3 linked regions of the Rhinolophus ferrumequinum genome follow. The protein of the gene in region 1 binds, or shares a complex with, the protein of each later gene. Links are inferred from orthologs where the notes say so. Each region holds a gene or a part of one and is shown in the gene's direction. Other genes may lie near its edges. The genes, in order: MAPK8, DUSP16 and MAPK8IP1.

The links.
Region 2: the proteins of MAPK8 (region 1) and DUSP16 are in contact, whole or in part, in a crystal structure (PDB 4YR8), measured with the Homo sapiens proteins. The link is inferred for Rhinolophus ferrumequinum from reciprocal best matches to the Homo sapiens genes MAPK8 and DUSP16. Residues at the interface, in NP_001310257.1 of Homo sapiens: Arg189, Val196, Ile197, Leu198, Gly199, Asp229, Ile231, Trp234, Gln253, Thr255, Val256, Thr258, Tyr259, Val260, Asn262, Arg263; in NP_085143.1 of Homo sapiens: Phe215, Leu267, Asp268, Tyr271, Lys275, Pro279, Ile281, Ser282, Pro283, Asn284, Phe285, Asn286, Leu288, Gly289, Gln290, Leu292, Asp293.
Region 3: the proteins of MAPK8 (region 1) and MAPK8IP1 are in contact, whole or in part, in a crystal structure (PDB 3VUM), measured with the Homo sapiens proteins. The link is inferred for Rhinolophus ferrumequinum from reciprocal best matches to the Homo sapiens genes MAPK8 and MAPK8IP1. Residues at the interface, in NP_001310257.1 of Homo sapiens: Lys83, Asp112, Ala113, Gln117, Val118, Met121, Leu123, Glu126, Arg127, Tyr130, Tyr133, Val159, Lys160, Ser161, Asp162, His286, Val323, Trp324, Asp326, Glu329; in NP_005447.1 of Homo sapiens: Arg157, Pro158, Lys159, Arg160, Pro161, Thr162, Thr163, Leu164, Asn165, Leu166.

What each region holds. Positions count from the first base shown.
Region 1 is NC_046299.1:62,953,559-62,961,649, forward strand, and holds the start of MAPK8 (mitogen-activated protein kinase 8), read left to right. Parts: upstream 1-4,491; 5' UTR 4,492-4,659; intron 4,660-6,115; exon of another isoform or gene 6,116-6,131; intron 6,132-8,091. UniProt on the Homo sapiens protein: Serine/threonine-protein kinase involved in various processes such as cell proliferation, differentiation, migration, transformation and programmed cell death.
Region 2 is NC_046293.1:27,377,743-27,385,598, reverse strand, and holds the start of DUSP16 (dual specificity protein phosphatase 16), read left to right. Parts: upstream 1-4,743; 5' UTR 4,744-6,048; intron 6,049-7,856. UniProt on the Homo sapiens protein: Dual specificity protein phosphatase involved in the inactivation of MAP kinases. Dephosphorylates MAPK10 bound to ARRB2.
Region 3 is NC_046294.1:14,967,274-14,975,069, reverse strand, and holds the start of MAPK8IP1 (C-Jun-amino-terminal kinase-interacting protein 1), read left to right. Parts: upstream 1-4,515; 5' UTR 4,516-4,712; coding exon 4,713-4,813; intron 4,814-7,796. UniProt on the Homo sapiens protein: The JNK-interacting protein (JIP) group of scaffold proteins selectively mediates JNK signaling by aggregating specific components of the MAPK cascade to form a functional JNK signaling module. Required for JNK activation in response to excitotoxic stress.

The sequences.
Region 1 (8,091 bases):
CCAAGGTACTCGATTTCTCCCAGCTCCAAATAATTCTACAGCTTATAGATCCAAAGGAAGATGTTTAAGAGCAGCGAGTAAATAAATGGTGAGTTGTTTTTTTTGTTTGTTTATTTTAAGGAGGGCCCACAGTGGCCCATGCGGGGATCGAACCGGCAACCTTGGTGTTATCAGCACCATGCTCTAACCAACTGAGCTAACTGGCCACCCCTTCAAAGATTCTTAAGTAGTCCTCAACTGAGATTGAAAGCCATGGATTCAAAACAACATAATTGTGGACATTTTTCTATAACCCCTGTCAACCCAGGTAGAGAAATAGAGGCACTTGGATGGATGTATCTGGGAGCTGGGTGTCCCTGGGCATGTAGAATGTAAAGATGGAGGGCAAGGAAGTTGAGGGTGTTCCTGAGAGGATTGGGGGAGGACTTTGGCAGAGGTTGGGAATTTACAGGGGTTTCCCTGCCAAAGAGTTATTTGTAGAGTTCCAGCCAGTCTAGCATGAGTTCGTTTTATATCTGAAGGGTGAAGGATGAAGCCCTAGAGGTGGAGATGGAGAGGGAGGTGGAGGTGCAGATGGAGATGGATAATCCCTAAAGCTGCCAAGGGAGAGAGACCAGGAATGGGGTGCTGTCTTCTCTCCACCACGGGGCCTGGACAGACCTTCTGCAGTATAGGAATTGCAAATGGCAAAATTCCACTGGGCTGGGAGAAATTCTAGGCTCGAAATTGTAAATGGTGCAGAGAGTCTATGCTAAAAGGTCTGACAGAAAGCCTTCTTCCTAATCTATATTTATTTAAAACAACAACAAGAGTTTTTTTTATCAGTTATAGAACTTCAGCAACTTATTCTTTCCTTCCCACTCAATTCCTTTAGTCTTTTTCTCCAGTGGATAAATATTGAATATCTTTAATATCTGAGTGTGGATGGAGAAAAGACATACTTAAGCTGTGAGAAGTGAATGCAGAACATTAGAATAAAAGAGCCAACAATGAAAATAAGGCCTAAGAGAGAACCTGAACACAAAAGATAGTGAGGGGCAGGTTGTCCTGTCCTGTTTGCTCTGAGATTTTAAAGAACAGAAAATATGCTGAATTTCTTAAGGCACTGGCTCTCAATCTTGGCTGCACATCAAAATCACCTGAGGGGTTTTGGAAAAGCTACAGAATCCTGGGTTCCACCGCAGACCACTGAAGAAGGATCTCCAGAAGTGGAGTCCAGCTGTGGGAGTTGAATTCCCAAGTTAATTTGAACGAGCAGGTCAACTTGAGAGGCACATCCTAGAGCAGTGGCTCTCAAACTTGAGTGCTCATTAGAAATACAGGCATACCTCCTTTTATTGCACTTCACTTTATTGCGATTCACAGGTATTGTGTTTTTTATAAACTGCGGTTAAGACCCTCCGCCAGCAAAAATATTACAAATCACTGTATTGCAGTGATTTGGAACTGAACCCACAGTTCCAGGGCTCCTTAAAATGCAGAGTGCTCTCCCTCACCACCCCAAGTCTTCTAATTCAGATGTCTGAAATGACTCTGAGAATCTGCATTTCCAGCAAGCTCCCAGGTGATGCTGACATTGCTGGTCTGGGACCACAGTTTGAGACCATCTTAGAGGAATAAATGCTGACCATTTTTTTCCCATGAAAACATGCATGTGTACTCAATCTATAGGCTTCACTAGTTGGTTTGTCTCTCTCTTGTGTTTACCTGGAAGCCATGTGTGCATATGGGGGTGAAGGAGAAGGAGGAAGCCCAAACGAAGAAGGGGGTACTACTTATAAGTTCAAATCAGAGAGCCACCCACTTCTACCTTCACATTTTTTTGTTCAAGGTGTGACTGAGGAACTCTGGTCATTTTTGATTCTGTTGTACTCCCGATGAAATAAGCCATCGTTCTTGCAGTTGAAAAGATAATTTACAACATGAGCACTCATCTTTCCTCTACTCATGCAACCAGAGACAGAGCTGCTCTCTCTGAAGTCAGCAGGCTCTGCCTTGAACAAGCCCTAAAGAGCACCTCAGAGTCAGAGGGTGATTAACTGAAGAGCTGAACCTATTCCTCCTATGGATGCAGAAGTAGACTGTAAGGTCATGGTTGGGAAAACAGATGGGTTGACTTGAAAGCAAGGCTGAAGGAGGAGGGTGGTGAAAGTGGGGTCAGAAAGTTAGAGGTGTCCTTGGAGATGCCCTTCAGCAGGCCTTAGTAAGCCCCCCTCCCCGACTCCCCTTCTTTGGAATGAGGTCAAGAAACTAGGAAGTGAAATAAAGTTTCAAATTTTGGTTTCTGCACCCTTGAACAGCTGGGTGTGAGATGCACCTGAGACCTTAGCTAAAGTCTCAACTCCACTGCAATTCAGTGTGTGTGTGGTCTGCAGAGAATGACAAGGGAAGTGCTCTGGACAGGGTGCGACCTCTTCTTGACCATCTCTCAGGGCTCCAGCAGAGAATGGGTTTAAGGGGCCTACAGTGTTCCCTTCCCGCCTTCCCCCATCCCAGCCTCAGAAAGACCCAAGGACCAGCTTTCCCCAAGACAACTCCCCTGGGATAAGAGGCAAATAAACCTGAATTCCTTAGCTCTTCCTCTTTTTCTGAGTCTGCACCCAAAAGGCTCACAGGGAACCATAATAGGTTAACAAGGAACTATGACATGAGAAGGAAGAAGGAGGCCCAGAGCCACATCTGGGTTACAAAAAGCATTTTGCCTTTGCAGAATATCAGAGATGATTACATTCAATCACAAGCAATGAATGTTTTCTGGAATCATACACATGCACACATACATACATAAACACGCAGGATGTCCGTTCTAGATGTAGGTAATTGGGAGATGACAGTAGCAGGCTGAAGCTAACTCAGAAACTCTCCCTGTTGAATGAGAGGCTGTGAGTAGCATTACAGAACTGGGCATAAAACTCAGGAACTCTGTTCTGCAACACCACTCACTTCACAACGACCCTATGATATTGTCTTTTGTCACCTCCAGGTCTTTAACATTGTCAGGTGGGAAGTAGGAAGTACTTGCTGATGCTTCCACCTGGGTGTCCAATTATACCCTCCCACCTCCCCCACACACACTCCTCCAGGAAACTTACACTCATGCTTCTTGTATGCTACCTCTCCCTCTCAACAGAGTCTTTCTATCAGATGTAAAGTATCCTGGCATCTTTTTTCACTGCCTAATTCATCCATTTCCACTGCCTCCGTTTTCTCATGTCCCATTCATTTCTTAGCCCATTCTAATCCACTTCCAGATCTCAGTACACCAGGATTTCAGGCCTCCTTTTTTTTTTTTTTTTCCAGGCCTCCTTTTATATTTGATGTTATTGATCACTCTTTTCTTCTTGACTCTCTTTTTCCTTCTACCTCCCTGGAAGCTCCTTCACAGGTTCATCCTTTTCATTGGCCATTCAATGTTCCATTTATGTTCCACTTCAGAATCACTGGAAACAGGCCAGCCCAACATGACATGGGAGAAGATACTCTCTGAATTCACTAATTTATTCAACAAATATTTACGTTCATTATTTATTCATCATTAAAATAACACACTTTTTTCTGATTATTAACATAAACTGTTCCATTTGGAAACCATGAAAAAAATATCCAAAGTTTAAAAGAGAACCAATTCACCTTTTATTCCACAGTTCAATGATGAACTACTGTTAAAATAATTTGGCAGATTTCCTTCTAGGTTTTTTCTATGTATACATAGTATATAAGTAGGATAATTTTATGAATATAGACTTGTTTCTTTCTCTTAATCTATTATGAACAGTTTCTTTTTAGCAATTCCTTGAACACATCACATTTACATGGCTAAAATGCATTCTATTGCATGGGTGTGTGTCATTTGAACAGATTTCCACCCATTGTTGGATATTTAAAAGCTTGTCTGTTATTTCGATAACTAACGTACACTCGCTTTGTGGGGCCCAGAGACAAATAGGGTAGTGCACGGAATCTGGTAGAAGGTGGACTTTAGGAAAATAGGGGGCAGCTTTTTCAGATGGCTGAGGAGAACATTTATTTGCTTGTGGGGTGCTGGGCCCGGGGCAGTTGTCCTTACAATGTAATATATTGTCTGTCAAGGCAATGAGCTCTTCATCTCTTACATGTGTGCCTGCTCCACCAGCCGGTTTGGTCTAAGCACATCTGACCTCCAAATCCTGGGGAGAAGAGCCCCAAAGGATTGGGCTCAGACTAGCGTACCGCCCCAGGCCCGTTGCTGAGCGGCCTGGCCACGCGCCGCCACGTGCCAGGATCAGGGCTCCGCCCCCTACGGTTCCCCGCCACGCCCCTCACTCGACGCTCTCAGAGGCTCTCCGGCAGCTCCTCCTTCAGGCGACCTCCGCTAATCCTCCCGGCCCCCTAGGGTAGCCCCGCCCCCAGACTGCGGGCCCCGCCCCCGCAATCCGGGCCCCGGGGCTGCCCCGCCCCGCGGCTGCTCGCATGGCGCAGGGGCGGTGCCCTGCGCGATGACGTGAGCGGGCGTGCGCGGTGACGGCCCGCGTCCCTGTTACTCAGCGGAGCGGCCGAGGCCGGACGACGCGGCCGGGATCGCAGAGCCGCGAGCAACGCTGGGTAACGGCCGCTGCGACCGCCCGGACGGCACCGGTCCCCGCCGGCGGGCTTTCCTGTCGCCGTTCGGTGCGCTGCCGGGTGAGTGCGGCGGGCGCCGGGGGACCAGGTCGGCCGGCGGCCCCGCCGTGTTTATGTTATTGTGCCGACGCCTTCCTCTCAGCCGTGACCCCCTCCGGGGAGTGGGAGCGGGAGCGCGCGGGGGACGCGCGGCGAGCGGGGGCCGCGCGGGAACAATAGCGGCCGGGGAGGCGGGGCGGGCCAGGGGGCGTGGGGCTGCGGGACCCTGGCGCGCCCTGGCGGTTCGCCCCCGGCTCCGCCGCCCCAGCTCCGCCCGTCTGTCCTCGCGCAGGTCTCGTGTCCACGTCTGGAGGGGAAAAGGAGCGGGGGTGGGTGGCAAGTTCTGAAACACTTCGGCGAAGGTCGGGACCGAGGCGCGTTGGCGGCCCGCCGCGCCCTGGCTGCCTCCGCCGGCGGTGGGCAGTCGCGGAGAGCGTTCAGGTCACCGGGTCCCAACGCCTGCCTGTCCTCCACGGAGACCGTGTTTTGTTTCTCGGTGGTTTCTTTGTGCTAACGTTCAGGGCGAACACAGGCAGCGCCGCCGAGGAAAGGCTGGGGTGGCCTTCAGCTCTGGGCTGCGAGGGGCAGCCCCGGCCCGTGGTTTGAGCGGGAGGTGTCCATCCAGCTCCGCGCGAGCTACGGTGGTCAGCGCGCATTTCTCATGAGGGTCACTCGATGGTGACCTTTTGACTTTTTCATCCCACCCTCTCATCTCTTTGTCTTTCACTTAATGTTTCCAATTATTAGATGGCGGATCCAAGTCCGTTTTAAAGTATTGCAATGAACACTTTTCATTTTAATTTCTGGAAGTTCCCCATCAGATGTTTACTGTGAACTTAATAACATGTTGACTGCATGGTATCAGACAATGTCCAGTGGTTACTATTTTTACCTCTGAAATTCAATGATCTTTCCAGTAGAATTCTGTTCTGTCAGTCCATTGTGTTTTAACAAGTACCTCCTTGTCAATTAGAACATCTGTTTATTTCATTCATTCATTCTATCATTTATTCATTCATTCAGCAACTGTTCAGTCGTGTACCCTGATGAAGAGTTTGAAGGTAAAGAGAGATATCCTTTAAAGATAGAAAATGCTTTGACTGAAATATAGTAGATGTACCTTTAAATAAAGCGATTATATAAGTGATGTGTGTTAAAGAAAGTACTGATACTCTGGGTAATTTTAATACTTTTTAGCAGTAGATGTGGAACTTCTAGTAGCATGTTATATTAGGAAGTAGAGCTAGGTTTGATCTAAATGTACAACAGTTTTTATTCATTTTCAAATTTAATTTTTTAATCTTACAGCTGTATAGCCTTACAGTCATTTTTAATGTTTACCTCAGATTTCCTCGCTGTGGGTTAAGCCTAGGAGGTCAGATGCTGTAAGTGAACGTATTTAGTGCTGTGCCTGACAAAAGCAAGCAGTCAAAATGGGACTTAAGGACAGACCTATGTTGTATCTGTGTCTCCAGCACCCAGCCTGGAATATAGTAAGTGTTCAGTAAAAGTCAGATTGATGAAAAGCTCTTTACAACTGATAATATTTAAAATCAAGCCTTAAAAAATTTTAATTTTCTCTGTAAAGTTTTGGGAGCCTCATGCAAACTATCACTTCCAAATCGCTAAATGATTAGTTCATATATAGGTCAAGACGGTAGTGGCTTTTGAATAACTTCAGTATCAGTTTTGTTTTTATCACTGCTAAACCATTCACTATCCTAAAATAAAACCTTGTCTAAAATGTGTGTATGTATGTGTGTATCTGTGTATATGTAGGGTTTCCAGGTGGGAATTCCCTCCCGTTCTCAGGAATTTTTTTTTGCTTCCCTGGTCCAGAATCCCAAGATATAAACTGGTTTCTGTTCTCCACCATGAATCGGTGACACCGATACTGCCAACCGCCTAGGTTCAAGGAGCCGATTTTCCTGATTTCCCGACCAACTTTTCTCAGAATTCGGGAATGAGAAAGCAAAAAAAATTCCTGAGAACGGGTGGGAATTCCCACCTGGAAACCCTGTGTATATATCGCTCGCGCGTGTGTGTACACACACAAGCGCGCGCACGCGCACGCGCGCGCGCGCACACACACACACACACACACAGTGATATTTCAATAGAGGTCTAAAATGGTTGCATTTATCCTTCTGAGAATATCATTTGAAAAGTTTCTGATGACTCCTTTAAGTGGAAAAGGTAGAACAAAGGAAATAGGTTGCATCAAAATTTTATTAGAAATGTTTAATTTCTAATAACATTTTAGAAATGTTTGTTGGAAATGTTTTATTTTAAATCTTCCTTTATTTTAAATACTATTGGTGGAGCATATGGGCCTAAAACTCAAAATAATATCAGTTTGTCCAAGTTATATCTCTTTTACATTCACTATGTAATAAATTTTAGAATTTGTTTTGGATTTGAAAGAATTAGGAGTGAACTTATTATCTGATGTATGGAACAAATCAAGAAATAAGAAAATTATATTTTATAGAATAAGCGATGAAAATCTTAAGATACGAAACTTTTATTGCTTTTCCTAATTAAGGTATGTCCGATTCCAGTAAGTGTTATTGATACAAATCCTTTGGCAGTAGCTCACTGTCGGGCTCTTTGTCAAACCAGAGCTTTTTTGTTTTGTTTTCTAAATTTTGATTTTAAGACTACCAGCATTATTGAGATATAATTTACATACCATAAAATTTACCCTTTTAGAGTGTGCATCATGGTTTTTAACATATTCATAAAGTTATGCATTGATAACCACTAATTCCGGAACGTTTTCGTCACTCCAAGAAGAAATCCCCGTACTCACTAGCCCTAGTCTCCCATTCCATTCTAAATTATGTTAAAAGGAAGAGATAGCATTAATTCTGTTAGTAAGTACATTCCATTAATGAGATTGAAAATGGTTCACTTTAAGTGTCCTGGCAGAGTAGGAACCCATGTTTCATACTTCTATAGGTCCTGGGAGAAAGGCCACTTGGAAAGGAAATTAAGAATACGTTTTACCAAAATTAATAACATTAGAATCGTAACTATTTGCTCAATGCCTAATATCATGGAAATGACCTTGTGAAGACACTTAATGCTCAGTGAAACAAAGTAATTTGTTGTTAATTTACTAGTCAAACTATCCTAGTGGTAATTAAGAGGTTGTTGAAAGAAGCCAGATTCTTGTAAGTCTCCTTTGTCATTGAATTGAGTTTTGATGTATTGTAGTCATCTAGATAGTTGAGATACTTTGTGGCACCTGTAGAAGTACACAGTGATGTCTGACATTGAGATGTCAGGTCTCTAGAGGTCTCCGGTCAAGTCAATGGTATGGATAGTAGCCTTTCTGATTCATGTAGTGCAAGGAATTCTTTATAGCCACATAGCTTTAGATATGAATCATTTGCCTATTTCAGTGAGCTGTGATGCTTATTGTCTTAGTCATGAGTTCTTTACATGAAC
Region 2 (7,856 bases), on another chromosome or scaffold:
TATGTTCCATTTGCATACTTCTTTAAGTGTGTAAACACTCCATGACCCAGAATTTTCATTCAACCTGTTGTAATATCTCTGGGAAAGGACAGTAAGTTTAAAAATGTTAGTAAGACATGGAATTCACTCTAGAGAAGACTTTCATTTTCACCTTCGCTGAATATGTCCATTTTGCAAGGTGAATAATAACCTATAATGAGTAACTACTTGTACTGTTTTTGATCCTTAGTTGGGAATTCGTAGATGTGGGGGGCAGATTATGCATTTATCTGTGCCTTTTATGTAAGGGACTTGAGTATCTGCAGATTTTGGTATCCGTGGGGGTCCTGGAACCAATCCCTCATGGATACCAAGGAACAATTAAGTTTTTTGGGAGTCAAGTTATATGCAGATTTTCGATTGCATGACACCCCTAACCCCCAAGTTAATCAAGAGCAAACTATAGTTATACTTATTAATCTTTTCTTTATGTCTTCTGGATTTTATTTCATATTTAGAAAAAGCCTTTTCCATGACAAAATTATACAAAAATACATTGTTTTATTCTAGTAATTTATGATTTGATTTTTATATTTAAGTCTTTTGTCTACCTTAAATTTAAGTCTTTTGTCAGATTTATTTTTGATGTGCAGAGAAAAATAGAGCTCTACTTCTATTTTTTTCTAAAAGACTAACCACTTATCCCAACACTATTTATTCAATATTTTTTTTTACTGACTTGGAATGCTCCTTTAAACTTATTTTGTTTGTACTTGGGCCCATTTCTGGATGGTCCACCTTTTCCCATTGATCTATCTATTTTAGTACTATACCAAATGTTTTAATTAGTGTAGCTTTAGAAAACATTTAAAAAATCTAATGGCTTTAGATTTTTATCAGACAGTGAAAATACTCCTAATGATATTATAATGATGAATATATGTCCAAACTCATAGAAAGTACAGTACCAAGAGTGGACTCTCAGGTAAAGTATAGACATTAGGTGATTATGATGTTTAATGTAGGTTCATCCTTGGTGAAAAGAAAAAAAAGTACCATTCTAGTGAGTAATGTTCATCATGGGGGAGGCTGTGTGTATGTGGGGGTGGGGACATATGGGAAACCTCTGTACCTCCCTTTCAATTTTATTGTAAATTTAAAACCACTCTAGAAAAATAAAGTCTTTAAAAAATAAAATTCAAATTTAAAAAATCCAACGGAACTAATTTCCTTTCATAATTCTGTTCTCATGTTTATATTTCCAGATGGTCTATACTCAACTGTCAATAAAAAATATAATTGTATGCTCTGTTTGTACAGGGTAACAATGGCTGGTAAGATAATTTCGTGATTCCTAATACCCAGTATGGTTTTTATTATTGTTTTCATTTCTAATATTGTAGCGTAAACAACATTGATCATATCTATTTTTTTTCTGATTTGTTCATATGTATTCCTTCCCCAAATTAAACTTTTGGCTGAAAACTACTTGAGAATGCACCAGTGTTTACCATACTGAACCCTCTAAAATGCACAAAAACAGGCAGTGCCTATTGAAGATTGGAAACACGAGGCCTGTGCTAGAATATGGATAAAAAAAGCTCATGTTCATCATGCTTCTGATCCCACACTCCCAGTAAGTACAGGGTTCCAGAATCAGTCTTTGTTCACTATCTTTTTCTCCTTACCACATATCTCTCATCCATGTAGTTAGTTAGAGATGCAACTTTTCAGTCTTGGAAAAATACAGATTTATCAAAAAGCACTAAGGAAACATGTGGAATCATAGTAACTACAGTCACTGTCACAAAAGTCTAACCTTTATGTGGTTTCCCATAGGCTCAATCCTCCCTCTGACCGTGCCTCCCGCTTCTTGAAGTCCACAGGCATTCTGAAGTTTTCTTGCAACATCTGTGAGTCACAGGTCAGGGATTCAGAAAAGAAGATCCATAAAGCTCAGGAGCTACAACCAGAAGGAAATGACCAATGGCCTGTTGGTAAGCTCTGTCCCTCCTCCTCATCTGAACACCACCATCCTGCTCCCTGCCCCAACCCCCAAGATCTGAAAGTTCAAAGGTAGCATTGCCTCTATAGGACCTGCCCAGGGAATTTCTTAGTTAGGCTCCCAACTTCTAACTCTCCATTCACCTGGAATCTTCTGATGGTTGCTATTTTCACCACCATCCACAGAAAAACTGGGTAAACAGGAACTGATAGATTTCCACGTGAAAAACAATAAGAAATGGCTTTGACTGGTTTATGTGACCATGAGCACAGCCTAACACCAGTTGTCTGGTGAAGTCATGCGCTTTTCCTTTGATGACCTCCCGCCTGGGTGCCTTCGATAGACTTTCTGAATTGGGCTAGAGACTAGACTAAATGATCTTTGAATTGGGGTGTGTATGAATCATGGAAAGCTTCCCCAAGGAGGTGGCAGCTGAGGCAACCTAGAATGGGATTCAAATAGGCACATAAGGGGGAGGAGAAGAGAAAATAGCATTCCAGGTAGAGGGAAGAGTATACACAAAGGCATGGAGATATGATATAGCACAGCAGGACCTACAAATAATTCATTACTGAGATATCACTGGAGTATTAAATACCCGGAGTGGCACGGATGATGTTGGAGAAGTAGGGAGTGGCCGGGTCCTGGGGGTGCTGGTGTACCATGAGCAAAAGTTTGGGTTTCATCTTACAGACATTTGAAGGGTTTTTAAGCAGATGAATGACATATGGTAAATCATGATGACCTCACCAAAAAGAATATAAGGCAATTTTGAAATTAACCTAATCAATGAAAGCTGGTGTGATTCTTGTCATTGATATGCTCGAGGATCATCATACAGATTCTAAGATTGACAAAAAGAAGTCTCCACTGACCTATCTTCTTACACTGGGTTATGACATAGTTGGATTGACATATTAGAAAGATCACCCTGGTGGTGTTGCAGGAAATCATTTTAAGGGTATGGAGACTGGAAGTAGGGAAGTAAGTAAAAGCATTATTGGAATTGCCTAGGTGAGCAATGACAGAGGCTTGAACTAGGGCAGTAAGTAGAGACATCTGTTGAAGAAAAAACTCAGCAGATTTGTTTGAAGAGATAATGGAGCAGAATGTGGCAGCAATGAAAATGTATCTCTCAGAAAGGATTACAGCTGATAATCCCAGTCTCTGTGCTCTGAAATCCGTCACTACTCCTTGCTACGGTCATGCCTCCCCCAGTCTGCTTCATGACGAAGTGTGGGAAGGATACTAAGGCAGGCCCACCTCTGGGAAACGTGGGACTGCTCGGATGAGCAACTTCAGCTCCAAGATGTTTCATCAGCTTTGCTGAACTTTCTCAGAACTGCACTACAATTAAAGATTCTTTCACTCAACCAACCTTCCAACCAACCCTTCCTCCCTTCCTTCCTTTCTTCTATGATTTGTAAGGATCAGACCTACATCATGGTCTGGCGGCTTTCCCCGAGAACCGGGGGACTAAACTTATGGTGGGTCAGCTTTTGGGCTCTGGAGTCACAATAACCTGGGTGTGAATCTGGCCCCACCATTCCTAGATATAAGAGTGCAAGCAAGGAATTTAATTTCTTAAAAGTGCCAGTCTTCTCATCTGTAAAATCATAATAGTTCTTGTGAGGATTAAATTAGTCAGGCTTATCAAGTATCTTAGCACAGTATCTGGCACATAGTAAGTGCCTGATAAATGTTAGCCATTCTTATTATTAGATGTGGGGGATGAAGGAGAGGAAGAAGTCAGAGGTAACGCCTAGGTTTCTGGCTATTTACAATATATAAAGTCATCACAAATAATTCACTCAAGTTGGTTCTCCTTTTGCATACAGCACGTATCTTTTTGAGTACAAAAGAGATTAGGACATCCTTCCTTTCTTTCCTCCCCTCTCTTAAATCTCTTGAGTCCTCTAGCTCTCATGGCTAAAGGAAAATAAACAATTAAATGGTACATCAAAATGGACATAAAAAAACCTCTCGATTCTGCAATTTAGAGGGTGGCCTTTCGCCACATTACCCCAGGCACCAAGTTCCGCGGATGAGACAAGCTCTGAGAATATTCTTCAGCCCATTCTAGAGCTCCTGCATATATACCAAGGCGGAAAAGTTAGCCACCTCCCTTAAGGATCTGAAAAACTAGGCCAGGGAATTCCAAATTAAATGCTCTTTATAGTTTTATTTAGAACAGGTGAGCTATTAAATAGGCGCTAGCAAGCACACTGCAAAGTGCACATTAGCTACGATCTTCCCCTTCCCCAGCACACTTAAAAAGCTTAAGACAAACACAATTCAAATTATAGACTGGAATATGAAGTTAAAACTAGCAAAATGGAATGAAAGGGAAAATGTAAACCCCTAAACAAAATTTTAGGAAATGAATGGTATAAACCTGGGATGGGGAAAATGCAGCTGAGCAGTGGTTTGTATGAAAAATGCCATGGGTTTTAGGTTAACCATCCTCTCCATGGAGCCAACAGTGTAATTTTGGTTGTAACGAAATGAGTGTACTCGTCAGCGGTGTACTAGAAGTATAATAACGGGAAACTTCTGTTTCCTCATCTGTAATATTAGGGGCTGGATTAGATGACTTCCAAGTACCATCTAGGCCTATGATTTTGTAAGTGCATGACTAGGACTCGAAAGCGCTAAACCCGAATTCCTACATTTTCAGGACCTGACCATAGAAAAGATACATAGGCTTGATGAACACAGACAATCCATTTTAATCTGGTTGACTTTACAGCTTAAATGATCTTGGGGACGGCGGATCTTCCCATGTGCTGAAGTGACCCACAGATACCTCCCCAGATGAGTGTGGCAATGGAACAAACTTACGTACATCTATTTCGCACCATGTCAAGCTTTACACAAAACTGTTTCTCTTGAGGTGGCAAGCTTGAGCAACCAGTTTTTCCTGAAGTTTGCCTGATACCCATGTTTACGGTGAGCTGTTCTGTCGTTCTTCTCTCTTGCCATAGCCATGGAGGGGCCCTCCCAAGTCAACTAGCTGACTATTGACATTGGTAATCAAGGATTTCAGAGGCAGAGATCAAGGTCAACATAGGGCAATGACAGAAAGGACTAGAGAGCCCTAGTTCACGGGGCCCCCTTACTAGGCTCTGCTGTACATTGGCTGAGGGAGGGCATGGATCCAAGTTTTAGCCACAGCATAACAGGCAGTCTGTGATGGTTTTGTGGGTAACCAGCGAGCTTCCTCCCTCCATCAGTGCTGCTACCATTCTCTTCTGGATACCTAAGCTGGCATTTTCAGGCATTTTAAACATCTTCTGAGAAAGAGACAGTAAGAGACCAATCACGGGAAAAGCAAAACTTAAATAAAAATAGAATTCCAAATATTTCAGCTGGAATCTCTTTGTCTAGCTAAAAGAGATTTAGAGAGTGGATCAGAAAGCCTGTGTGTCCTTGTTCTGCAGTAACCAGGTGTATGTATGCCCTTGGGTAAGTCACTCAACAACCCTGGGCCCGTTTCCTCACTTGTAAAATGAGGAAGAACCCCATTCAGCTACTTTTGAGTGTCGGAGTCCCTTTAGACTCCCCTGGTTTATGGAGGAGCCCTGTCCTAGGAACAAATTATATACTGTGCAGGAAAGGAATTGTATATAGACTGGGAGGTGATCTCCATCAAGCCAGTTAGAAGTACCCTAGAACCTTAAAAGGATGTTTGTGAAGAGCAATAAGCAAGAACTGAAATCACAGGACTCCCAGGTTCCTGCCCCAGGTTAGTCCCTCCCAGGTACTGGCTGAGTTGTTCTGTGTCTCATTCTTAACTCGGTCAGGCAGAAGAGGTCACAGAGGGTGGGGCTATGACCAATGGATCACATTCTCAATGTTCTGGAAAAAGGACAGAGGTAGCAGAAAGGCCAGAAGAGGAGTTTCCGCTGCACATTAGCCTCAATTGACTACCCCATTCTCTTTCCAGATTGGAAAGGACATGCCAGCCAGGTAGCTTTGGCATCCCCGGCTCCTCAAGTACCTTTATCACCTCAGCAGCACAGCCACCAACTTGGGAAGGAAACCAAGATCTTGGACCAAAAGGGGTAAGTCCAAGAGATGCTAAGTTCGATGGGCTTTTGGAGATTTTTGTGGGATTCATAGACACTTATATTTTCAGGGGAGAGGTCTTCCTTTTTTTTTTTTTTTTTTTAACTGTGGTACAATATACATGAGTTTTACGATTGCGACAATTTTTAAATATACAGTTCAGTGGAGAAGTATTTTTTGATTACTTCAGTTCTCTCCCTATCCTGATGTAGAGTGTGTGTTCCCTGCTACCAAGATTCTTGATTATTCTGTAGGGTTCAGACTGTAGGGTCTGAACGGTTAAGCTGGGTTTGACTTCTGCAATAGAACATCCAAAAATACCAGAAACAGGACAGGAAATTATTCAGTGGTCATTTCTCCTTTGATATGGGTGATATCACACTTGCTGCTCTGTCTCTTTAATTTTTATCTCTGCCTTGGCCCTAACCACTTGTCCAGACCTGTGGCTTGCCCTTGGGCCTGCTTTCTTTTGTTACACTGCATTTTTGTTCTCTGATGACTCCTGGCTCATTCTCACAGTGAGAAAATTATTTTCCCTGGGATGGGACTAGTCTGCCCCTTCAGTGATCCTGCAGAGCTTCTTTGTCAGATAGAACTGACAGCCTCTGCTCTCTACCTGAGCTCCGATCCCACACCCCTGACCGTGTGCTGCCCATTTCCTCTGGAATGTGCCAGTCATTGTTCTGCCAAACAGATTGCAACATGTCCAAAAGCAACCTTCATTTTTTTGCCACAAACCAGCTGCTCTTATAACCTTTGAGTCCCTTACTAGTCCATTAAGTCATTTGGAGGAGAAGCAAAGTCTGCTTTGATTTAATCTCCTTTTAGTACCCTTAGCCATTCGGTCCCCAAGAACAATCAGATTTTCCTTCAAATACTGGTCATTGTTCCCGCCCCTCCCTCCCACCCTCATGCTCACCTCAAATATCATCTGGTGCTGTGTCCACTCTTTCCCTGATTGGATTCCCTGTGCCAGGCCGATGCCAGACCTAGACCTACCTTCACTAATCAAGTCACATCTGTTCGAAACCCGGAAGGTCTTCCCCATTCCTATGGTATAGGCTTCTTGCCCTTATTAGGCTCTTAAAGTTTTCCCTAATTTGATCCCATTCTAGAAAATCCATATGCCAGGCAGCTGTATTTTAAGGGGAAGTTTAATGAACTTGGAATTACTGGACCTGCTTTCAGATTCTAGCTTTGTTCTCAGCAGAACCTTGCACAATTTACTGATTCTGGGAGCCTTACATCCCCATTTGCAAAATGGGGATACAAATACCTATATCATGGGAATTTTATGAAGATGTAAAGAGATAAATATGTGTGGAGGCAGGTTAGCATTGTACTCAGAACCCACATTTGAACTGACTCCCTTGGTTCACATCCAGGCTTTTCCACTCAATAACTATGTGACCCGGAGCAAGTTCCTGAACCTCTCTGGGCTTCATCTTTTTCATCTGTAAAGTAGAGATACAACAGTGCATACCTCCTAGGTCTGTAGTGATAATTAAATGAGATACTATATGTAAAGGGCTTAATATATGCCTGGCACACTGGAAGCTGTAATAGGCGTAAGCTATTATTATTATTATTATGTGCAAGAGCCCTATTGCTTGACAGCTAATCAGCACTGAATCATGTTTGCTAAGTTTGTTAATGAATTCATCTTATCCATGTGATCTCATTTCCCACTAATTCTTGCTATGCACATTTTTGTGCCACTCCTCCTCTAGACCACCTTGGCTTTCCATTAAAACCTCATCTACTTTTCTTGTCTTTGGTTATGGTATTTCTCTTTTCTACAATG
Region 3 (7,796 bases), on another chromosome or scaffold:
TCACCGATGGAGATGGAGCGAACGTGTGCGCGCGTGTGTGCAGAGGAAGGAGTGGTGTGCCTATTAGGGTGTGCATGCATCTGTTTACACTCTTGTGATTCTGAATGCTGCCTAGGCCGGAGAAGTCCTGTAGCAGCTTCACCTCAGCGTTCAGACACCAGGCTAGAGGTTATGGCCCAGGCTAAAGGTGGTAGGGCCCTCGCTGGGATTCTGGCATCTGCCCCTCCCCCAGCCCTCCCTGCCTCCCTCTTATCAGACGGAGGAGCAGGAGGGCAGCATTTCTGGCTCCTGTCCAGAGGATTCTAAAGGCAGCCAGAGCCCTTCTGAGTTCCTCCTGACCCTGGAGGCTGAGCAGGCTGGAGTGGACGGATGCTATCCAGACACAGTCACCTGGCCTGGCTTCTTTCCTATTTAAAAATTCCCTGCCATTGGGTCGACCAGACCCTTCCTTAGGCATCTGGATCAGAACATGAGGCTGTGGACAGATCTGAGAACTTTCCACCACGTACGGAAGTACACCAGTACCTGTATACACGGTACTGTAGAAGATAGCTTAGGAAGTACAGCCACCTTTTCGGGCTTAAAACCTAAGGTTGGGAATAAAATCCCAGTTCCTACTGTTCATTCCGCAGAATCTGAGGGCCAGCCTCAGAGCTGACTGTGGCAACCCAGTGCCTCCACCAGCAGGAGGCCAGGTTCCTGGCTCTTCTGGCCATACTCCAGGGCACCACAGTGCTGCCATTGAGGTCAGCTGACAGCCAGCCAGGGAGGCCATTCTAGTCTGTTCTGCAGGTGTCCAGAGCCTGCCCAGGAATGTTCAGCGTCCAAGCTGCCATGTCAGCTCTGCCAGTAGCTAGGCACCGAGGACCCAGGCAGGTGGACTCGTGAGGACTGCCAGGGCCAGTTGGGAAAGGTCCAAGTAAAGAACCCCTCCGCACACCAACCCTTCCAGAAGTAGCAGGTGGGAGGTTTGACCCGGAGAGGTCAAGGCCTTACATTCCAGGAGTGGCCTATGCCTCCCACCTCAACCCTCCCACTGTCAAAGGCCCGTGTTGAGAAAGACATAATGAAAAGGACTGTGTGGTCAGCTGCAGAAGTCTTCCTTCCACTGCGGCCTGCACTTGAGCCACAAAGTGTGTGTGTGTGTGTGTGTGTGTGTGTGTGTGCGCGTGCGTGTGTGCTACATGCGCGCGTAGCTGAGAGGCTACTTCCTCTTTGGAGTTTTGTCCTCACATGGAACATTAAGCTGGCCTCAGGGCCTTCTCCTCTACCTCCCTGTGGCCTTTCCTAGTCTTCTAGCTGTTAACTCCCTTGGCCCCAGCCCTGTCCCCCACTGTCCCCTGTCCTCAGACCGGAACCCTGGGGTCAGGCCCCTGTCTCCATCAGCTGTCCAGCACATTGACAGGCTTCTTCCTGAGAGGTCCTCAGGTGTTCTCAGCCAGAGAGCTGCCTTTAGAGTTTAACCGTTGTATGTTTGTCACCCTCACTAGAAATGTCCCGTAATTATGTGTGGGGAGCAGGGCACAGGTGACGGTGTGTATTCGAAGCATTGGGTTGGGGACTTCCTTGTTCCCTTAGCCCCAGCCAGGAGAAAGAGAATTGGGGACTATTGCCAGAAGGGGAGTAGAGCAAGCCTGGAAGGGCTGGTCTGAGAAACTGAGAAGGCCAGAGGGCTCCGGCCAGCGTCAGTGTTCGTTAGCAGCCCCTTCAGACCAGGATGAGTCCCTTACCCTGCCTATTGAGTGGGGATTCTCTTCCCTAAGGTAAAAGCTGGCCAGACCACCTACCCCTGCTTCACCCTCCCTGGCATGCTGGCCCATTCCCAGTGGAATGGAGCGGTCCACTCCTGGAGTTAGGAGGGGCGGGGTGAGGAGAGGGTGCATCCAGTAGCCCAGAGCTCCACCATGGCTTTGTGCCTCCCCTCCCCTGGCCCAGGGGTCTGGGGGCTGCCATAGAGCATTGCCCCAAATCCTGATCCAAGGGCCAGCATGGGTAAGAGATGGTCACAGGCAAAATGCACTTTATACAGAGATTTTCTATTGCTGGGAAGGTGTGTTTCTCCCACAGTTTGTGAATATTCACTTGTTTCATAAATGTCTGATCCTGGATGAGCAAAGCTGTGCTGTCGTCAGTCTTGTGGGAGGTCTGGGGGGTGGGCATCAGTAAGGGTGAGCCTGAATGAAGCCTTAGGCCGGACCCTCTTGCCTCTGCTGGAACCAGGAGCCTCTTGCCCCTCCTGGAGGTCACGGGGGTGAGCGGGGTGGGGAGAGATGGAGGAAGGGGGAGGCTCCTAGGTGAGCATCCGGAGCTCCCCATCTTTGTCAGAGTTGGAGGTCAATCAGCCAGAATTGTATAGCGCATTCCAGGCACTGGAGGAGGGTCATGAGTGCTATTCGGCAGAGACCCAGCCTGTGGCCCACGTAGACCCCCAGGCTGGGGATCAGTCAGGGGCAGGCCTTCTCCGGGCCTTCCATCCATCCTTTACCTCAACTCAGCCACTTAAGCTGCAGCTGTGGTGCGGAAGGGGTCCAAGCCTTCTGGCTCTGGCTAGGTGGTCCAGATGGGACCACAGCCAAGCCCAGGGCCTGGATGCTGACCTTGTCTCATGCCATCTGGCCAGAGAGTGACCCTTCTCTGCGCACAGTGCGTGGGCTTTCCTGTGAAGGTGTCCAGCCTTAGACCACTGGAAGTTAGAGCCTTGTTAGCCGTACCCCAACTTCCTGTGGGAGGGGGCTCAGGCAAGGCCCAAGAATATCACACTCTGCCCTGCATAGAGTGAGAAAGGGGAAAAGGGAGGAACTTGACCCTGGAACTCGTCTCATTCTTGGCTCTGCTTTGAAGCTCCTGGTGGCCCCTTTCCCACCAAGATCTGGTCCCGCCCTTCCCTTTCTCCTTTCTCCGGGCTGCTCTCTAATGTGGCTTTGGCTTGGCCTTAGGAGAGCTGAGATACCTTTGTTCTTGAGCAAAAGGTCCTGGAGGATGGAGTTGTCCCCCCCACACACACACACCCCTGACCTGAGGACACTCCCTAGTTAAGACAAACACACTCTCCACACTAAGGTACAATTATTAGCCACTATGGCAGGACTGCTTTCCTGGGAATCCAGGCACCATAACAGCAGGTGGTTACTGTTCAGGCGTAGTGAAAGGAGACTGAGCCAAGATAGCAGGGAAGATACAGTGGCCACCCGTCTAGGCAGGGAGAAGAAAGGCAGCCAAGGCCTTTGGCTCTAGGTATTGGGACGTTCTCATGGCTGGGGCTGGGGGTTGTTCACTGCAGACCTGCTACCTGCAGCTCCTTTCCATATGCTACACTGAAGGTAAAGGGGGTGGCTTGACCAGCTGGCAGTCCAGCTTTGCAAATAAGGTTCCATAAGCTGTGAAGCAGTTTGCTCTGCTGCTGCTTCAGAGAGAGGTGAAGGGCAGGACCTGTGTGATTCTCCCAGGTGGCCAGAAAAGCCAGTGATGTTTGGTCAGAGGCTCTATGACCCACCAAAGCTGGGGCCCTAACCTTGACCAGCAGCCTGCATGTCCAGCAGTCCAGGCTTTCAAAGAACTCACAGGCTTAGCCTTCTTAGGGAAGAGAAGGCCAGGAAGAAACCACAGCTGGGGCAGAAGGAAAGGCCCTGTCTTAGAATATGAGAGGCCAGCTCTGGATGTCTGGGTGCACGTTTCCTCTTCAGGAAATGCAGTTGAGGGATAAGTGAGAAGAGGGACAAATCTGGGAAAGTCTTGACATGAAAAAGGAGAAGCTCAGAAACAGAAGCCAAGAGGAAGGGTTCAGTTAACCATTAATAGCTGTTTAGGGCTGAAGCAGGGCTTGAGTCAATCTTTAGAGAGGAGACGCTCTAGGGATAGTCCTTGGAAGGGTCCCCTCAAGGTAATGGGACTGGACGGGGTGAACCTGGATCCCAGCAGGAGATGGAGTGTTCTCAGCGTCCGGTGACAATACATTTGTGATACGTTTCAACCTCACACCAACCATGTGAGGGACCATTATTGTCCCTATTTCACAGGTGAGAAAACCAAACCTTAGGACGGGTACATCATAACGCAAAGCCACACCAACTGACTCCAAACCTGTCAGGCTGGGGTGTCCCACAGATCCCAGTGTCTTTCGAGGAGCCCACTGCCAACCCCCTTTCCCTTTCTATGCCAGCCTCCACGACCTTCCCCTTCCTGTCCGCCTTCTTAGTCTGCTGAGGAGGGCCAACTAAGGGCCCGCCATTAGTTACCTGACACCCAGGTGCTAAGCCCACGCCAACTGGCAGAGCTCGCACGGCCACATGGGGGGGGGGGCTTGGGAGGGCTTTGCGGGAGGGGCGAGGGGAGAGGAGTCAGTGTAAGAGTTAGGGCAGGGCTGGGCCGGACCCAGGGGCGGCAGGGGCCGCGACTTCAGTACCTCGGAGAGCGCCGAGGGGCGGGGCACGCGGGCCCGGGGGCGGGGCGAGGGCGGGGCGCACGAGACCCCTAGGCAGGGCCCGGGGGCGCGCGCGGTGGCGCTCGCGCCAGTCCCGAGAGCGGTGTGCGGTCCGGAGCCGCGCGCTGCCCTGCGCAGGTGCGCCCGCCGCGCCCGCCCAGCAGGATCCCCGCGGCGGCGGCGGCGGAGGCCTCTTGCTACGCCCCCACCTCCTTCCCCTCGGCCGCCTCCGCCGCCTTCGCCGCTGCCTCCGCACCGCGCTCCGCCCGGATGGCCAGGGCTGTGCGCGAGAATGGCGGAGCGAGAGAGCGGCGGCCTGGGCGGGGGGGCCGCGTCCCCGCCTGCCGCCTCCCCGTTCCTGGGGCTGCACATAGCGTCGCCGCCCAATTTCAGGTGAGAATCCCCGGCCGCGGTGCCCCGCCCTTTAGCCGGGACTGATCTGCTCAGGCTCCCTCTCCCCACAGCCTGCAACACACACACACACACACACCACCCCCCCAGACCCCGGGAACGAGGGGACAGCCTGGATGGAGATGGAGTCTCTTCCCTGGACGGAGCCCCCAGAACCTCCCTCAGCTTCAAGTCTAAACTGATAGCCTCTGCATATCCGTGGTGCGGTTCCCTCCGCCATTCCATGACCTAGGCTAGGAGACTCTGAGCTGCAATTGGAGGAGGGCTGCAATCTGGGTTGAGATCCCAAAGGAGGCAGGTAGGCTGGCTTTGCCTGTGCCCAGTCCGAAGGCTTCTGAATAGAAATGGGTGCCAGTTTCTTGGGGCAACGGACAACCTTGGTGCAGGAAGGAGGGAGTCATGGGCCTTGCCTGACCAGAGGGGCCTAACTCCCAGACCTGGATTTGGACAAGTCCTGACCTTGTCAGATGTGTGCAGGTGCAGGAGGTTCAGACTCAACCCAGAGATTCTAGACGTGGCTGTGGGACGGGGTGTCTGGTTTGGACACCCAGAAGTAACCAGGAATATTGGGGGGGGTCCCTGCAGGAGTAGTTCCCAGGACCCTAATCTGAGCTTCCCTTCACCCCTCTCCCTGCCTCCTAGCTGGGGTTAGGCAATTGGGAGGTGAATTTCAGAGAAGTGGACAGTAGGTGTTGTGGGGAAGGGTTGATGTCCCTTCCTCAGAATCCTGGCCCCAGGTGGAAGGAAGAGGAGGTGTAACTGCTCCAGAGCCTTGGAAGAAGTAGGCCTCGATGTACCCCATTGTTTCTCCATCTAATGAGCTGGCGCCCTCCCGTCTCCTGGGGCCCCCACCTCAGCCAGGCCCCAGCTGGTCTCTGGCGCCAGCCCCTCTTCTGACCAAGAGGTTGCTGGTTCCCTGGTCCTCAGGTGGGCAGGGACCTTTGTGGGTCTCTAATGGCATCATCAGGATTAGAAACCTCCCCTGAGGCCCTGAGCTGAGCCCGGAAAACACCAGAAGGAGGGGACCAGATGGAGGAGGTTTGAATGCTGGGGCCTCTGTGGTTAGTGCCTGAGTAAGAAGCCTGAGGTCTGAGAGTGACTCCACTTGGCATCACACACTGCCTCTGTGCAAACACTGCCTTCCTACCAGGAGGACCCTCTGCAGTGGGAGGGCACTGAGCTTAGAAGGACCTGGGTTCAAATCCTAGCTCCACCACTTTCTAGCTGCATGACCTGGGCAGGGTTTTATCTTCTCTGAGTGCCACATGTTAGGTGAGCTAATGAATATTGATTCCTTAATTTATATCACGTCGGTGCTTACCAAGTGTCAGCCCGCCCTCTATGCTAGCAGGCTTGTGTATAGCTCCTCACTGTTCAAAGCATTTCCCAGTGCCGGCTCACCTAGCCCTCATAACCACCCCGGGTGTGGGGATCAGTCTGCCCATTTTGTAGATGAAGACATTGAGATTCAGGGAGGCAGGTGGCTTGCCCAAGGACCCAGAGGAAGTTAGAGCCTGAGGCTGGACTGGAACCTACAGCTACGGTGCGTGTTCAGTCCATTCTACCTCCAGGCCCTGCCCCTGGCCCGGAGGACAGCTTTACCTCCCCTCACCTGGCTCCTGATCCCCAGGTACCAGTGCTCACAGGCAGGCAGGCAGGTTAGCATGGGCGCTTTAGCGAGAGGAGCTGTCAGGGTGGATACCAGCCAGTGAGTGTGTCCAGTCCTGGCCCAGGTGGGCAAGGGTGGCAGCACACCAAGGCTGAGGCGTGGGCCAGCCCTCCGGGACATGGTGGCCTGGCTGTGAAGACAAAGCCCACTCGTGGGAATAATAAGAGCAGTGTCTCCAGCCCTACGTGGCCGCCCCCGCTGCCCTTTCCCTTGTCCAGCCTCTCAGAGCCCTTGGCCCAGTTTGGTTTAACCCTGGGTAGTTACTGCTCTCTTGTGGCTCTTTGGTGGGGTCGTGGATCCAGCTGGCCTGGGTTTGATTCCTGGCTTAGCCTTCTTAGCTGTGTGCCCCAAGACTGGGCACTCGACCCCCGAGCCTCTGTTTCTTCTCCATAATGCCAGCTTTGGCCGCTGTGCAGGACGGTCCTTAGACTTGGATGAGACAACACATGTTGAGTGTTCCAAGAGCTGTGGAGCGCTGCCTTCATGCAGTTGTTGTTATTGTTGTTGTTGTTCTTATTGTTACTGTGTGTGTTACACATGCCCCAGCACCACTGTCAGCTTCTCAAAGGCGTAAGGAGTTAATATCTAAACTTTGGTTTGCCCAATGCCCAGCACAGAGTAGGTGCTCAGTAATGCCTTATTGGTTTACTATTTAATTAAGCTTAAAATTGGGCACCACCCTCCTAGAGTACAGAGAATACAGTGCATTGCCAGAGAGCCCAGTGGTACGCCCTGACACGTGGGAGCGGCTCACTTTGCCCAGACACCATTCTGAGCACTTTCTGTGCAAGAGTTCCTACCAGGACTATATAAACAGAGTATTATTCTTATTGTAAGCCCACTTAGCAGATGAAGAAACGGAGGCATAAAGAGGTTAGATAAGTAGCAGAGCTGGGTTGGAACCCAGGCAGTCTGAGTTCAGAGAGTGCCCTGGAATATTGGGAGAGAGGTGAGGTGGTGGAGGGGGTGAGCACGATGTGGACCTGCAAGGGTGGGGAACGTTTGTTTGTGGATAGTTGGTTTAAATAATATGTGTCCTTCTTTGTTCTGATTATAGAAATGCCCCAACCAGTTACTAATAGTTGCCTGTGGATATGGTATGGGGGAGGGGTTTTCACTTACTGTACATACTTCTGTACTCTTATTTCTACAATAAGTATAGGTTACTTCTGTAACTGACAAAATAATTTTGAAATTTTAGTATTAAACTGATACATGTTCATTACAGGCATATCTCATTTTATTGCACTTCACAGATGTTGCGTTTTTTACAAATTGAAGGTAAGACCCTCCACT